4 linked regions of the Oryctolagus cuniculus genome follow. The protein of the gene in region 1 purifies or fractionates together with the protein of each later gene. This does not show direct contact. Links are inferred from orthologs where the notes say so. Each region holds a gene or a part of one and is shown on either strand. Other genes may lie near its edges.

The links.
Region 2: the proteins of MED16 (region 1) and CDK8 purify together in Homo sapiens (affinity purification with mass spectrometry; 10 studies listed by BioGRID and IntAct, counting the BioPlex papers as one, with this or other methods). This does not show direct contact. The link is inferred for Oryctolagus cuniculus from reciprocal best matches to the Homo sapiens genes MED16 and CDK8.
Region 3: the proteins of MED16 (region 1) and CDK19 purify together in Homo sapiens (affinity purification with mass spectrometry; 6 studies listed by BioGRID and IntAct, counting the BioPlex papers as one, with this or other methods). This does not show direct contact. The link is inferred for Oryctolagus cuniculus from reciprocal best matches to the Homo sapiens genes MED16 and CDK19.
Region 4: the proteins of MED16 (region 1) and MED9 purify together in Homo sapiens (affinity purification with mass spectrometry; 5 studies listed by BioGRID and IntAct, with this or other methods). This does not show direct contact. The link is inferred for Oryctolagus cuniculus from reciprocal best matches to the Homo sapiens genes MED16 and MED9.

What each region holds. Positions count from the first base shown.
Region 1 is NC_091447.1:58,476,254-58,480,571, forward strand, and holds the start of MED16 (mediator of RNA polymerase II transcription subunit 16), read right to left. Parts: upstream 2,805-4,318; 5' UTR 2,648-2,804; intron 1,373-2,647; 5' UTR 1,330-1,372; coding exon 1,197-1,329; intron 470-1,196; coding exon 362-469; intron 1-361. UniProt on the Homo sapiens protein: Component of the Mediator complex, a coactivator involved in the regulated transcription of nearly all RNA polymerase II-dependent genes.
Region 2 is NC_091440.1:96,647,370-96,651,016, reverse strand, and holds part of CDK8 (cyclin-dependent kinase 8), read right to left. Parts: intron 3,413-3,647; exon of another isoform or gene 3,300-3,412; intron 2,181-3,299; coding exon 2,040-2,180; intron 1-2,039.
Region 3 is NC_091436.1:60,950,286-60,953,932, reverse strand, and holds part of CDK19 (cyclin-dependent kinase 19), read right to left. Parts: intron 1,483-3,647; coding exon 1,339-1,482; intron 1,222-1,338; coding exon 1,152-1,221; intron 1-1,151.
Region 4 is NC_091448.1:66,357,102-66,361,313, reverse strand, and holds the start of MED9 (mediator of RNA polymerase II transcription subunit 9), read right to left. Parts: upstream 2,848-4,212; 5' UTR 2,757-2,847; coding exon 2,530-2,756; intron 1-2,529.

The sequences.
Region 1 (4,318 bases):
TGCGGGGACAACGTCGCGGGACGTGGGGGCCAGGGCAGAGGCCCGGGGACCCGGCCAGGCGGGACCGGCGCCCGCCGCAGCGCCGGCTCTGGGCTCTGGCGCGGGCAGCAGAGGCCCGGCGGGGGCTCTGGGACAGAGGCTGGGGAGGGCGCCACCCTGTGGGGGCCCCGGGGAAGCGCCTGGCTCCCGGCTCTGGACTGGACTGGTCTGGCCCTGGCCAGAGTGGATCAGGGACGGGAGACCACCCCCCCTCGCTCTCCACCCCCCCCCTCCCTGTCTCCCTCTCCCCCTCCCTCCCTCCCTCTCCCCCTCCCTCCGTAACTCCGCCCCTCGGGCAGCCAGGCCCCGCCCCCGCCCTCACCTGACTGGTCCCACTCCAGGCAGGTGATGGCCTCGGTGTGGCCGGAGCTGATGGAGTGCACGTCCCACGGGTGCTCCGTGTCCAGGATGTGGATGGTGCGGGTCAGGTCTGGGGGCACAAGGACACAGTCCCGAGGGGTCCCGTGACCCCCAGGCGGCTCCGTGGAGGACCCCCAGGGCGATGGTGAGGGACAGGCTGCCCCCTGGCGGGCAGAGCGGCCAGTGACCGGGCGATGGGAAGATGGAGTGAGAGGGGCCGACGCCCGGGCAGCAGCGCCCGCGGTCCCCGAGCACGCGTCACCCGGCAGCAGGGCAGACGGCACGGCCACTGACGCAGAGCAGGGGCCGGGACGGGGCCTGGGCCAGCAAGACCCCAGCCCCACGTGGAGCCGGACCCCAGCGTCGGGGAGGCCGGGGCTCTGGACGCCCCAAGTTCCAGAGGAGGTGAGGGGCGGAGCCGGGCGGGGACACGGGGGGCGGGGCCAGGTGGGGCAGGATGGGGGACACGGGGGGCGGGGCCAGGTGGGGCAGGATGGGGGACACGGGGGGCGGGGCCAGGTGGGGCAGGACGGGGACACGGGGGGCGGGGCCAGGTGGGGCAGGACGGGGACACGGGGGGCGGGGCCAGGTGGGGGCCGGGCGGGGACACGGGGGCGGGGACAGGTGGGGGCCGGGCGGGGACACGGGGGGCGGGGACAGGTGGGGGCCGGGCGGGGACACGGGGGGCGGGGCCAGGTGGGGTCATGGGGGGCGGGGCCAGGTGGGAGCAGGACGGGGACACGGGGGGCGGGGACAGGTGGGGGACATGCGGGGAGAGAGGGCAGTGGGGGGCGCACCCTGGTCCTCGTTCCGCACGTCTGTGGTGAAGGCGATGAGGTTGCGGCAGGACCAGGCGCAGGCCAGGGGCACCGAGGGGCAGTGCGTGGTCTTGGGCCATTTCTCCCACTCACAGACGTAGGCCAGGTCCATCCCGCCGCAGGCCCGGGGGGCTCGTCACTGACACGGCCCAGTGCTGGGGGGGGGCATAGGGGGGCTTAAACACACGAGGCCACGCCCGTCCTCCGCGACGCTGGCGTCCACACGGGGACTCCAGGAGGGGCCGGGCGGCTGGGGCGCGGGCCAGCACCCCCAGGTCTCCACAGGACCCCGCAGATGTGCTTGGTCCGGGGAGCGAGGATGGGGCGGCAGGGGGCGCCCAGGGCCGCGCGGTCCCCCAGGCTGGGCCCGGGCCTGCGGAGGGCCCAGAGTGACCACAGCGGCGAGCGCCGGCGCCCCTGGCGGCTCCAAAGAGAAGGGGCTCCATCGACGTGGGCCCACCCCTCCGCCCCAGGCACCCCGGGAGCCCACGCCCACCCTAGCCCACCCCACCCCGACCCCCCAGCTCCGCCCCAGGCACCCGCGAGCCCACCCCACCCCGACCCCCCAGCTCCGCCCCAGGCACCCGCGAGCCCACCCCACCCCGACCCCTCAGCTCCGCCCCGGCACCCCGCGAGCCCACGCCCCGGCACCCCGCGAGCCCACCCCACCCCGACCCCCCAGCTCCGCCCCAGGCACCCCGCGAGCCCACGCCCACCCCACCCCGACCCCCCAGCTCCGCCCCAGGCACCCCGCGAGCCCACGCCCACCCCAACCCCCCAGCTCCGCCCCAGGCACCCCGCGAGCCCACCCCACCCCGACCCCCCAGCTCCGCCCCAGGCACCCCGCGAGCCCACGCCCACCCCACCCCGACCCCCCAGCTCCGCCCCAGGCACCCCGCGAGCCCACGCCCACCCCGACCCCTCAGCTCCGCCCCGGGCACCCCGCGAGCCCACGCCCACCCCGACCCCTCAGCTCCGCCCCAGGCACCCCGCGAGCCCACGCCCACCCCGACCCCTCAGCTCCGCCCCGGCACCCCGCGAGCCCACGCCGCGACCGTCCCGACATCCAGCCCCAGGGTCTCAGGCCCAACCCCAGGGACCCCCCCCCCGTCTGCGGGCCCCGCCCCCGAGCCAGGCAGCCCCGCCCCCGAGCCAGGCAGCCCCGCCCCCAGCTCGCCTCAGGCTCCGCCCCCGGTCCCGCCGCCCCGCTTCGGCCGCGGACTTCGCCTCAATTTCCGCGCAGCGCCCGGGCTCCCCCACGTCGCGCCGGGCCGCGCGCCCAGAAGCCTTTGCGCTCGGGCCCGCCCCCTGACCCCGGAGGCCCCGCCCCTGCCTTCCCCGCGCCGCTGTCCCCGGGGTCGCGGACGTCGTCCCGAGGCCGGCTGGCCGCCGCCGCCGCCGCCGGGCCCTCCCACGAGCCCCGCGCTCACCTGGCTGGCCCGAGCGTGGAGCCGAGGGCACGGCTGCGGCCCGCACTCGCCCTAACGCCGCGGCTCCGGCGCCGCCATCTTCCCGGACCAACGAGTCGCCCAAGCCGCGCCGCCGCTTCCCGCAGGCTCATGGGACGGCGGCGGCTCCGGCTCCGCCCAGCTTCCGGGCTTATTTGCATAGTCCTATTAGGTTCCCGGCAGCCTCCGTTCGTGTGTCTCATATAAAACAGAAATATTTCCCTAACGTCGATTAAAAACTACACCTCATTAGAACATATACTGTCCTAACACAGTAAAGAGCACGAGTGCCCCACAAAGTTGTCGCAAGAAAATTCACCCTTATCGTAAAGACAAGATTTCTCGGCACCTTAAATACTTGTCCAGGATAGCGGTCGTTCGTGCTCGCTTCGGCAGCACATATACTAAAATTGGAACGATACAGAGAAGATTAGCATGGCCCCTGCGCAAGGATGACACGCAAATTCGTGAAGCGTTCCATATTTTGCTACCCCTTTCCACGAACAGCGTGCAGGAGGAGCCGGCCCGGTCCGCGTGGAGCCGCAGCCGTCGCGCGTGAATGCCCACGCAGGGTGTGCGTGACTGGGCGGTGAGCGCGGGGTCCCGGGGGTCTACGCCGTCCGCTCTGCAGCCCACGCCCTGCTCCTGCCCTCTGGCACACACCGGAGCAGGTGAGAAGGCGGCCCGCGACCAAAGGGCACTGAACCCACAGCATAGCAGACGCACCCCGGGACACGGAGCTCCCGCGGTGCAGCGCCACGGCTCACAGGTGGGCCCGGCGGGGCCACGGTCGCCGCAGCTCTGCCCGCAGCAGCGCTGTGACTTTGTTTCCCTTACCTATTTGATAGGCAGGGGCCGTGGGGAGGGGGAGAGGGGGAGAGGGGGACAGATCTCCCATCGGCTGGTTCACTCCGGGGCTGGGCCAAGCAGGAGCCCCGGGTTCCCCACGTGGGTGCAGGGCCCCCAGCACTCGAGCGGGCACTGCCGCCTCCCAGGTGTGCATAGCAGGGAGCGAGGTCAGGAGCTTTACCCTGGGGCTCAGCTGCTGGGCTACGCCTGGGTCCAGCAGGCCCTCTGCCGTGGCTGAGAACTGGGCAGGGGGCTTCACGGACGGTCCCTGGAGGTCTGAGTGGCCACCCCGGGCACCCCGGCTGCTCCCCTTCCAGCCCAGCTCCCTGCTAACGGCCCGGGAAGGCGGCAGTGACGGAGAGGTGCCAGGGCCCCTGCACGCACGGGGGAGACCTGGGTGGCGCTCCCGGCTCCTGGCTTCAGCCTGGGCCAGCCCTGGCCGTCACTGTTCTTAGATGAAGATCCCCCCGCCCCGCCCCGTGTAACTGTGCCTTTCATGTAAAATGATAATAAATATACAACTTTCAGACGAGGAAGGAGCCAAAGCCAGCCCTGCAGTGAGGCCGCCGGGGGTGTCTGTGGCCACCTGCAGTCACTCCAGCCGCTGATGCCCCGTCCACGGGAACCCGGGCAGCTGAGAGGGGCTGGGCCGGGGGGGGGGGGTCCCAGCCCCCCCCCAAAGAAGCATCTGCACAGCCCAAGGCCAGAGCACCAGAAATTTATTAAACCCTTCCCATTCCCCAAAGCACAAGCCACACGCGGGGGACAGGGGTGCAGGCCAGCTCCACGCAGGGGGCGGGGCCA
Region 2 (3,647 bases), on another chromosome or scaffold:
AGGACTGCCAACACATGGTGACAATAGGAAGCAACAACTTCTAATACGTTTTATTATTTTTAAATTTTTTTTTAATTTTTTAAAAAATTTTTAAAATGCTGATACTGCATTCCTTTGCCTAAGCTTAGGGTACATTGATTCCCAAGTACTCTTTTCTTAATACATATACAACAGAGATTTCTAAATTGATATCTTCCATATTGTCTTTCCCTGTGTGAAAGACAATCTGTTTAATCTATATCGATACAAAGACCTTTACCAAAAGAGATAAAAGAAATCAACTTCATAATTATTTTCACTACCGTAGTTAATACTAATGTAAGTGGTTCAAATTACATAAAATTAACTGGTCTAAAAAATCAGTCTATATGTACCTTAAGAACATATACAATTGTTTTTAATTTTGAAAGAAAAAGAAAATGTAGAGCTATCTGGCATAAGTGACTCTATGAGGACAAATAATCTTTAGCAAAGTTTTATTCTTTTAGAAATCAAAAAAAAAAAAAAAAAATCAGTAGCTCAAAAGTGTTTTTCCATAATGTAACTCTACCCCTAAAGGCCAAAATTTTTTTCAGCTTCATTAAAAGCCAAAGGATTTGTCTTATTTGTGTTCTGTAAATCCATTGTTGGTGCAGTCTAATTCTACTAAAAACAGAGTGTGGGGAAGGAAAATATTTCAACCATTTTCCTGCTGTGTTATTAGTCCCAGTATAAACACTCTGTAGGTATGAGGATTGGACACAGAATAACTACTATTAAATGTACATTAAAGCAAATTCTTGAAGCAAGATCAAAGGAGCAGGGGCCAGTCTTGTGGCTCAGTGGATTAAGCTGCTGCCTGTGATGTTGGCATCCCATAAGGGTGCCAGTTTTGAGTCCAGGCTGCTCCACTTCTGATCCAGCTCCCTATAATGCACCTGAGAAAGCAGCAGACATGGCCCAAGTAATTGGGCCTCTGCTACCCACTTGGGAGATTCAGATGAAGCTCCTGGCTTCAGCCTGGCTCAGCCCCACCTGTTGTGGCCATTGGGGGAATGAACCCGTGGATGAAAGATATGTCTTTCTCTCTCTGTAATTCTTTCAGATGAACAAATAAATCTTAAAAGAAAAAAAAGAAAGAAAGAAGTAGAAACTGCCACTGAAATAGCTTCTTTAAAGGCCAGAGACTGAATGCATCAAATACACAGCAGCTTGGAAAAGACACCTTGTGTAAGGGCCTAGATCAGCTCTACCTCAGAGTCTACAGGGTTTTTCCAAGGTACACACATGATTACAGATAGAAATCATCATTTCTGGCACTGTGTTTATAATTGTTAAATGAACATGCTATTAAAAGCCTTACTATAGTTACTACACTTATTAGGAACAGAACTACAAAAGCATAATGTAATTATGCAAAAGAAAGAATAATTTCATGTTTAAGTAATTTAAATTTATTAAGATTTAATAAATAATAACATGCTAGATGGATGAAAAAAGCGTATTTTGTAAGATAAAATGAGAGCCAATTTCTGGCATTTTTAAATTCCTAAAAATTTAATGCACTTGAATACAGCGAGGCTTCTAATAATATACTTCATTATGATTATAAAGGCTTATGGGCCAAAAGACTGCTGTTAATGTAGTGGATAACTACAGAATTAACATTTTCCACTTATTGTATGTAACTAGTATGTAGTAGGCTCTAAAAGTTTTATTTCAAGTTATTATAAACATACTCATTTCCAGAGTTTGCCTACCACCTAAGAATCAATGTAAAACAAGCCAATGCTTACTTATGGACTAAAAAGGGAAACCAAAGCTTAGGAAAACAAATGTGTCTTCTATCTCCCTGAAAGCCACACCAGCTAGTACATGTCAGAAAATCAGGCTGTGTTATCCAAGCTCACAAAGTTAGGACATGTTTTGAGACTACTGCACTTTTATTCCCTCTTTAAGGTCAACAGGTCTACAAGAAGCACTGAAATCTAACACAACTAAGAAAGCATCCAATCATAAATGCATCTTTCTGGTTTAAACTCAACTACAGAGTGACTTACCAAATCCCTGTGCAACACCCAGTTAGCATGCAGGTAATGAATCCCATCTAGGATCTGATATAATAGTGACTTCACCATTCCCCGAGGTAATTGAACTGGCTTCTTGTTTGCTTTTGAAGCTCTGTGAAACTTGATTATATGCTGAAAAAAAGAAAGAAAGAATCACCCAAAGCTTAAAAAAGGAAAGAGGAAAGAAGATCTGAATATTTTCCTTACAGAAAAAGAAACACTCGGGGATTTCTACAGATACTGAAAACATAATTTTTCACATTCTGCTGAATAACATAAATAACTTTAAAACTTCCTAATAACTGAAGCTGAAATTCCATTTCCAAAGTACTTGATAGCATCTCAGAAAATAAATGTTCAAAATAGAAACATTGTATTTTTATTTTTTAAAGCATAATTAGAATTTACTGACTTTAGAAGTATATTTGACCTCCATTCATTTGGTTAAAATTTTCAAGAACAGAATCTTTGGGGCCAGCATGTGTGACACTGGGTTAAATAAGCCACTGCCTGTGATGCCATCATTCCACATAGACACCAGTTCAAGTCCTGACTACTCCACTTTTGATCCAGCTCCCTGCTAATGCACCTGGGAAGCAGCAGCAGATGGCCCAAGTACTCGGGCCCCTGCTACCCATATGGGTGACCCAGATGAAGCTCCTGGCTTCGGCCTGTCCAAGCTCTAGTTGCTGTGGCCATCTGGGGGATGAACCAGAGATGGAAGATCTCTCTTTCTGTGTGTGCATCTCTCTCTCTCTCTGTAACTTTGAATTTCAAATGAACAAATAAATCTTTAGGAAAAAAAGATTCAAGTGAGGGGGGAAAGACCCATTAAAATGTTCCACATATAGTTCTATAGGAAATCCAGTAAAACAAAGTACAGTTTTATAAATGAATGTACCTTACCCTCTCAAGAGGCTTCTTCATTTTAATTAAAACACAAAAATTGCAGGGACATTTCTAAGTCAGTTGCAGTCAACTCTGCCTTACATACCACCATGCATAATTGCTGGCACTAAGTATTGAAAAAAGCAGACTCTAGACCAATATTTCTAAGTGTATTTTAAGCAGATTCTTGAAATCAGCAGATATAATGAAAACATAAGTGAATTTTTTTTAATGTTTTAGGTTAGTCCTTTTACTTTCTATTTTCTTTTGATACACAGAACACAACATGGATAGAAGGGATAATTAATGATTAACAAGTAAGGAGTTTTACTTTCCATGGAAAAAGTGTATAGCAAAGAATACCTAGTGGCTGTCACTGTGGCACTGAGGGTAAAGCTGCTGCCTACAGTGCTGGCATCCCATATGGGCGCTGGTTCGAGTCCTGGCTGCTCCTCTTCCCATCCAATTCTCTGCTATGGCCTGGGAAAGCAGTGGAAGATGGCCCAAGTCCTTGAGCCTCTATACCCGCATGGGACTCCCAGAAGCAGCTTCAGGCTCCTGGCCTCGGATCGGCCCAGCTCTGGCTGTTGAGACCATTTGAAGAGTGAACCAGGGGATGGAAGACCTCTCTCTCTCTCTCTTTCTCTCTCTCTCTCTCTGCCTCTCTCTAACTACCTTTCAAATAAATAAATAAATCTTTTAAAAATAAAA
Region 3 (3,647 bases), on another chromosome or scaffold:
AAATTCTTAAAACTTTTTAAATACTATAGCCTAAACCTGGCATATATGTTAACAGTAGCTGGAATCTTGAAATCCTAGGCATAACTAAGATACCACTAGAATCTAATTTCTGGTTTAAATCATAATCTACATCTCCTTTTTAAAAATTTATTTGAGAGAAAGAGACACTTGCTGCTGGTTCATTCAATGTCTACAAAAGTCAGAGCATGACCAGGACAAAGCTCAAACCAGGTCTCCCACATGGGTGGTATGGACCCAACTACTTGAACCATCACCTGTTGCTTCCCAGCATCCGTATTGGCAGAAAGCTGGAGTCAGGAGCCAGAACCAGCAACTGAACTGATCTAGCGGTGCACATCATAACCAGTGTCCGAAGTGCCAAGTCAATTGCCCACCCCTACATTTGGATTTTAAAAAGATGTAGATATTCCCATGGAGGTTCCTACCTATAATTAACACATACTATGGGTTGTTTGTGTCACTTCCAAAAGCCAAAGTGAAACTTAACACGCAATGCAATACTATTAGAAGGCAGAGCTCAGGTAGGTGATCAGGTCACTCAGGAATGGGATTGGCTGGTTTCTCTTTGTTTTAAACAGGAGAGGCAGGCCGGTACTGTGGCTTACTAGGCTAATCCTCCGCCTGCGGCACCGGCACCCTGGGTTCTAGTCCCGGTTGGGGCGCTGGTTCTGTCCTGGTTGCTCCTCTTCCAGTCCAGCTCTCTGCTTGGGCTCTGCACCAGCATGGGAGACCAGGAGGAAGCACCTGGCTCCTGGCTTCAGGTCAGCGCAGAGCGCCGGCCATAGCGGCCATTTGAGAGGTGAACCAAGAAGGAAGACCTTTCTCTCTCTCTGTAACTCTGCCTGTCAAAACAACAATAACAACAACAAAACAAAACAAAAAAACAGGAGAGGCTGCACACAGTATCTGTTGCTTTTGCCCTTCTGCCTGCAGCAGGGAAGTTTAGGAACAAGGTGTCAACTTGGAAGCAGACAGCAGCCCTCACCAGACACTGAAGCTGCTGGAGCCTTGAGCCCCCGCTTACCAGCCTCCAGAACTGTGAGAAATGATTTCAGCTATTTATAAATTACCCAGTCTAATGTTATTTTTATGGCAGCCCAAAGAGACTAAGACAATGTGGAATTACTTACGTTGTTCTTCTAAAGTCTTTTTGAAGTGTAGGGTATTCTGGCATCTTCCTAATATCTTCCCAGTCTTTATCTTACAAAAAAATATTGAATATTGTTAGAGGAAACTAATTATTTTAGTTTTAAAATATACTTAGGATGTTTTTGAAATATGACTCAAAACGTGATTTTGAAAAGGAAAATAAATTACCTGCAGGAAATCCCATGACACTAAATATCCGATCTAGTTGATCGTGATGAAAGGGATTGCTTGTTTTAATATCTTCCTGGCGACAGTGAAAAATAGGTTCTGAAGTCAACAATTCAGCAAATATGCAACCTATCGCCCATATGTCTATAAAGGAAGAAAAACAGAATTTTGTCTACATTTCTGTATTTCCTTGATTATAATTCCAAGGTGTAATCTCAACCTACATATGAAGATAATTTTCAGTAAAGCAATATACAAAGTACAATACATACATTAAGAGAACAGAAATAGCGTATGTGATTTGAAATAGCTGCATCATCATGCAACAGGCTGAAAGGCAAATAAAAAACATTTACTTTAAATTCCATCACTGAAGTGTTCAATGTTTTGGTCTAATACACAGTGTAACACTCAGCTCAAGTAGACTCAAATAACATCTTCAGATACAGTCATATAATTTCCTTTAGAGCAATCATAGAGCAGAATTTCTAAGTTTCGACCCAGTTAGTGCAGACCACAAAAAAGGATTTGGCAAAAGTCATCTTTTGCCTTAAAGACTACCACATTCAACAGTTCCTTCAACAAACTGCAAGGTCTAGAAGCTGATGAACAACACAGTACACACAAGCATGGCGAGAAAGCAGTACACACAATGCTCACCCAAACCATGTCCACTAGCTGCTGCCTGCCCCTCACTCCCAAACCCTGCATGAAGTCAGGCACCTTTAAATACTTCATGAATTCTTGAAAATCATCAGTTATAGATTATTCCATTGGATTTTACAAACCAAAAGACAGCAACATAGATGCTAAGAACACAATAATATATTTACAATGCTTTGCTGAGTATATGAATGTATTAACTTATTTAAGATTTATTTTTTATTTATTTGAAAGGCAGAGTCAGAGTCAGAAAGAGATAGAGTAAGATCTTCCATCTGATGGTTCATTCCCAAAATGGCTGCAATGGCCGGGACTAGGCCAGACTGGAGCCAGGAGCTTCATCTGAGTCTCCCATGTGGGTGCAGGGGCCCAAGCAATTAGGCCATTCTCCACTGCTTTTCCCAGGCACATTAGCAGGGAGCTGGATAGGAAGTGGAACAGCCAGGTCTTGAACCAGTGTCCTTATGTGATGTCAGTGGCAGAGGTGGAGGCTTAACCTTGCTATGCCACGACAGTGGACTCACGAATGAATTAACTTTTGTGAGACAGATGAATATATTATGCTTGCCCACCCAAATGTTATTTAGTAAGTAATTTTTTAAAAATATTTCTTTATTGCTCTGAAAGACAGAACTACAGGGTGGGGGGAAGTAGAGAGAAAGATCTTCTATCCCTTGGTTCATTCCCCAAATGGCCACAACAGCCAGGGGTGGCCAAGCTGAAGCCAGGAACCTGGAGCTTCAACTGGGTCTCCCACATAGGTGCAGGGGCCCAAGCACTTGGGCCACCTTCTGCTTCTTTCCCAGGCCATTAGCAGTGAGCTGGATTGGAAGTGGAGCAACCAGGATGCTGGTATTGCAGGCGGCAGCTTTACCATTACGCTACAACATCAAGCCCAGGTATTTTATTTCTTTTTTCTTTTTTTAAGATTTTATTTATTTATTTTAGAGGTATGGCCATCTTCCACTGCTTTCTCAGGCCATAAGCAGGGAGCTGGATTGGAAGAGGAGCAGCCAGGATTAGAACCAGTGCCCATATGGGATGCTGGTGCCGCAGGTGGAAGCTGAGCCTACTGTGCCAGCCTCCAAGTATTTTCTTAAAAAGAAAAAACAATAATGCAAGGACTATGGTGCAATCTTAAATATATATATATACACACACACACACACATACATACATATATATATATAATCTAGTGTTTAATAGCCCATCAAATGAAGTAGATAAACTAAATAGGAAAAAAGTTTATCATATCCATTAGCTACATTAAGCATCAGTATGCCATTTCATAAAACACACTGCTAAAGAGAAAAAAAATCAGACAGTAATGTCTCACTTTTGTGATCCCATCCAGGAATGGTTTCCTTTCATATAAACTGGCTTCAAGATAATGGGAACATAGGCTTTAAAAAGCCATATTATATTACACTGTGACCTGCCATCACCAGATGCCATGAAATGTAACTTAATCTTCCTTAATGACACAGCAAAGTCATCATCATCATGACCATTCATCACAACAGAGTAGTCATAATATTCCGTGCCTACTTTTTGACTCTTTTTTTTTTTTTGGACAGGCAGAGTGGACAGTGAGAGAGAGAGAGACAGAGAGAAGGTCTTCCTTTTGCTGTTGGTTCACCCTCCAA
Region 4 (4,212 bases), on another chromosome or scaffold:
CCCGTTGTTTTGGCCATCTGGGGACTGAACCTGCACATGGAAGATCTCTCTGTCTCTTCTTCTCACTGTAACTCCTTTTTTAAAAAAATTTTTTAAGATTTATTCATTAATTAAAGTCAAACTTAGAGAGGAGAGACAGAGCGAGAGATCTTGCACCCGCTGGTTCAGTCCCCAAACAGCCATAACAGCTAGGGCTGGGGCAGGTGAAAGCCAGGAGCTTCTTCTGGGTCTCCCACACGGGTAGCAGAGTCCAAACACTTGAGCCATCTTCTGCTGCCTTTCCCAGGCCATTAGCAGGGAGCTGGATTCGAAGTGGAGCAGCCAGGACTCGACCCGGTGCCTATATGGGAAGGCAGCACCGCAGGTAACATCGGACCCTGTAACTCTTTCCAAATAAATACATCTTTAAAAGAAAAAAAAAGTCCACGTTGTCAGCAGCGACTCCATCTCAGCACAGCATCGGCAAGCCCATCAACCTTCAACCTGAACGCCCCCGCAATGGTGGTGGTGTCAAGTTTAGCTTGCTTTGGTTTTAAATGGTTGAGCTCGAGTGGCAAGCCTGGGGGTTTACATCTAGCACTGAGTCGTGAGTCAGCCAACAACAGACTACACACACGACGAATGGTGGCATGAGATTAAAACGGGGCTGAAAACAACCTTGTTCGTGGTGACTCCGACGGAAAGAAACCGACTGCACTGCCAGTTCTCATACAGGGAACTTCAGAAAGTTACTGCGGGGCCGGCGCTATGGCGTAGTGGGTAAAGCCACCGCCTGCAGTACCGACATTTCATATGGGTGCTGGTTCTAGTCCCGGCTGCTCCACTTCCGATCCAGCTCTCTGCCATGGCCTGGGAAAGCAGTAGAAGATGGCCCAGGTCCTTGGCCCCCTGCCTGCTTGGGAGACCCAGAAGAAGCTCCTGGCTTCTGGCTTCAGATCGGCACAGCTCCGGCTGTTGCAGCCATTTGGGGAGTGAACCATTGGGTGGAAGCTCTCTCTCTCTCTCTCTCTGCCTCTCTGTAATTCTGCCTTTCAAATGAATTAAAAAAAAAAAAGTTACTGGAAAAATGGAACTAAAATTTTGGTTCAGGGGCCAGCATTGTGGCACAAGCCGTTGATGCTGGCATCCCACATGAGGACCTACTCAAGTCCCCGCTGCTCCATTTCCAATTCAGTTCCCTGATAATGCGCCTGGGAAAGCAGCCGGGATGGCCCAAGTGCTTGGGGCCCCTGTCGCCCACGTGGGAGACCCGGATGGGGTTCCAGGCTCCTGGCTTCAGCCTGGCCCAGGCCGGCCGTTGTGGCCATTTGGGCAGTGAACCAACAGATGGAAGATCTCTCTCTCTCTCTGCCTCCCTATCACTTTGCCTTTCAAATAAGTAAAACCAATCCCTGAAAAATAAAATGAAACCCATACACATCTTTCCATAATACGCACTTTTCCGTGAACTTTCAAAACAATCCTCGTATTGGCTGTCCTATACCTCTCACTGCTGTTTCAGAACGTACTCCTCCTACTTCCACGAAAGGCCAAACACCACGCATGTCCCGTTGGGACGTGTCTGCCTGCAGCAAGCGGCCGATGCCTCGGCTGCACCTCCTCACTCTCCCAGGCACCACTCCGTGACGTCAGCGCCAGCGGCGTACTCACTCAGGCAAGCGTGGAACGGGGGGGACTTTGGTTTCTTGTCTGTTTTTGTTTTTTCCTTTCCAGAGCCTGTCTGTCCGAAAGCTTGGGCTCCCCTGAGGGCTGGCCAACAGCACGGCCATATCCTTTCAAGGTAGGCTGGGATCAAGTTAGTCCAGGCCCGGTGGAGGCGATTTCTGTGTCTCTGCAGGCCATCTCAGCCCTGCAGGCTCAATCTGTATGAATTATGGGTAACATAATTATGGGTAACAGAGAGAGATCTTCTATCTACTGGTTCACTCCCTAAATAGCCCGAACAAAGCCAGGAGCCAGGAGCTTCTTCCAGGTCTCCCGCGTGGGTGCAGGGGCCCAAGGACTTGGGCCATCATCCACTGCTTTCCCAGGCCACAGCAGAGAGCTGGACCAGAAGTGGAGCAGCCGGGACTCGAACTGGAGACATTCGGGATGCTGGCGCTACAGGCGACGGCTTTACCTGCTACGCCACAAGGCCGGCCCGCAGTCGGCCCCTTTTACCGTGCGCACCCCGTAACGCCTAGCAGAACGCTATGCAGTCCCGACGATGTTTCTCTGCGGGATGTGCTGAAGACGAGGAGAAAACCAGAGCGCGTCTTAACCCTACGGAGCCTCAGGGACGCTGCCCAGGCTCCCGAGGCCCCCGGCCACCTGTGCCGGCCAGCTCGGAGCAAGTGTCCCCCGCATAGAGCACGGCGCCCCCCGGCGCCCCCATGCGCCCGGACAGGCGCCGCGAGCTCTCGGGAGAGGCCCCTGCCCACCCCCTGGCCTCGGCCTGCCCGCCCGAGAAATGGGGACGCACCCTTGCAGCCTCCTAGCGCCAGCGCCAGCGGCGGCGGCGGGGCCCCCTCTTCCGGGGCCCTTCCTTACCATTTGATGATGTTGTGAACCAACGGCAGGAAGGAGTAGTTCTCCTCCTCCTTCATGCTGGCGGGGCTCTGGGGCCGGGGCGCCGGCGACTGCTGCGGCTGGGGCGCGGCCACCGGTGGCGGCAGCTGCGGCGGCGGCAACGGCTTGGTCTCGGTCAGCGGCGGGTCGGCCGGTGGCGGTAACGCATCCTCGGCCTGTCGCCCAGCGGCCACCCCGGCCGAGGCCATGGCCCCGGGGCTCGGTCCAGCGAGCCAACTCCCCCACTTCACCGGCTCGGCTCGCCGGGAGCGTCGCGGACTCTACACGTCACTGCTGAGCGCCTCGCAGGGGCGGGGCCGGACGCACGGATCTGAGCATGCGCACTGAGCAGGGGGCGGGGTAAAAGCGCAGGCGTGAGGGGAGGAGGCTGTTGCTAGGCGACATGCGGTGGGCGGGCTGGTGTAGGCTGGATTTGGTTGCGAGTCTAGTTAAGTAAATTAGTCAGAAACAGGCGATTTAGCTCAAGTGACCTCAACGGCCAGGGCTGGGCCAGGGCCAACCCAGGAGCCAGGAGCTTCGTTCAGGGTTTTCACGCGGGTGCAGGGGCCCAAGTACTTGGGCCATCTGCTGCTGCTTTTCCCAGGCCTTTAGCAGAGAGCTGGGTGGGAAGTGGAGCAGCCGAGTCTCAGACTGGCGCCCATATGGGATGCCGGCGCTGCAGGCCGCGACTTAACCCACAGCACCATGGCTTCGACCCGCTATTTTATTTTTTTAAAACAACTGTTCAACATTTTTAAATTTATTTTTATTTGAAAGGCAAAGTGATAGACACGCGGAAATCTTTTCTCGGATACTTCTCTCTCCCAATGCCTCCAACAACTGTGGCTGGGCCAGGCTGAAGCCAGGAGCTAGGTACTCCATCCAGGACTCCCACGTGGGTGGCAGGGGCCCAAGCACCTGGGCCATCATCTGCTGCCTCCCAGGCTCATTAGCAGGGAGCTGGGCAGAGCAGCCGGGACCTGAAACAATTCTCTAGTGTGGGGGGCAGGTGTCCCGCAGAGAGCTGGATGGGACGCAGAGCAGCCGGGACCTGAAACAACTCTCTAGTGTGGGTGGCAGGTGTCCCAAGCTCTGGCCTAACCCACAGCGCTAGGACGCCAACTCCAAAGCATCCCCATTTTAAAGACAAAGTAACTGAGACTTAACAATGGGTGTGGGTCTAGGGTCACCCAGTTTGCCTAACGCCAAACCTATGGTCTCAGCCAGGTTCCTCAGGCTTCTGCTAGTTTTGTAACTTTATGATTCAAAATGTTAACGTGGCTTTCTATTCAGAATTTGAGAAGCAATCTAATAGTCATCAATAATATCCCCATGGCAACGTGCGTCATTTTTTTTCCCCTCCCAGCGTGTTTGATCACAAGCCCCGAATTTGTCATTGGCATCATAATGAGAACGTCCTTTAAAAAGAAAAAAAAAATCAGGTATAAATAGATATGGCTAAAAAACAAACAAAAAAACCCACAAATTGAAAATGTTAGATGCATGAGCAAATACTGGGTATTGACAATTTGCCCTATAAATAGTTCATATAATTAGTGACAAAGAGTAAAGTTTTGTAATGCTGCAAGCATATGTCAGAAAAATCCTGCCTGGGCTGCTTTCAGGAAGCCCAACATTGCCACAAAAATACGCATCTGTTTAATA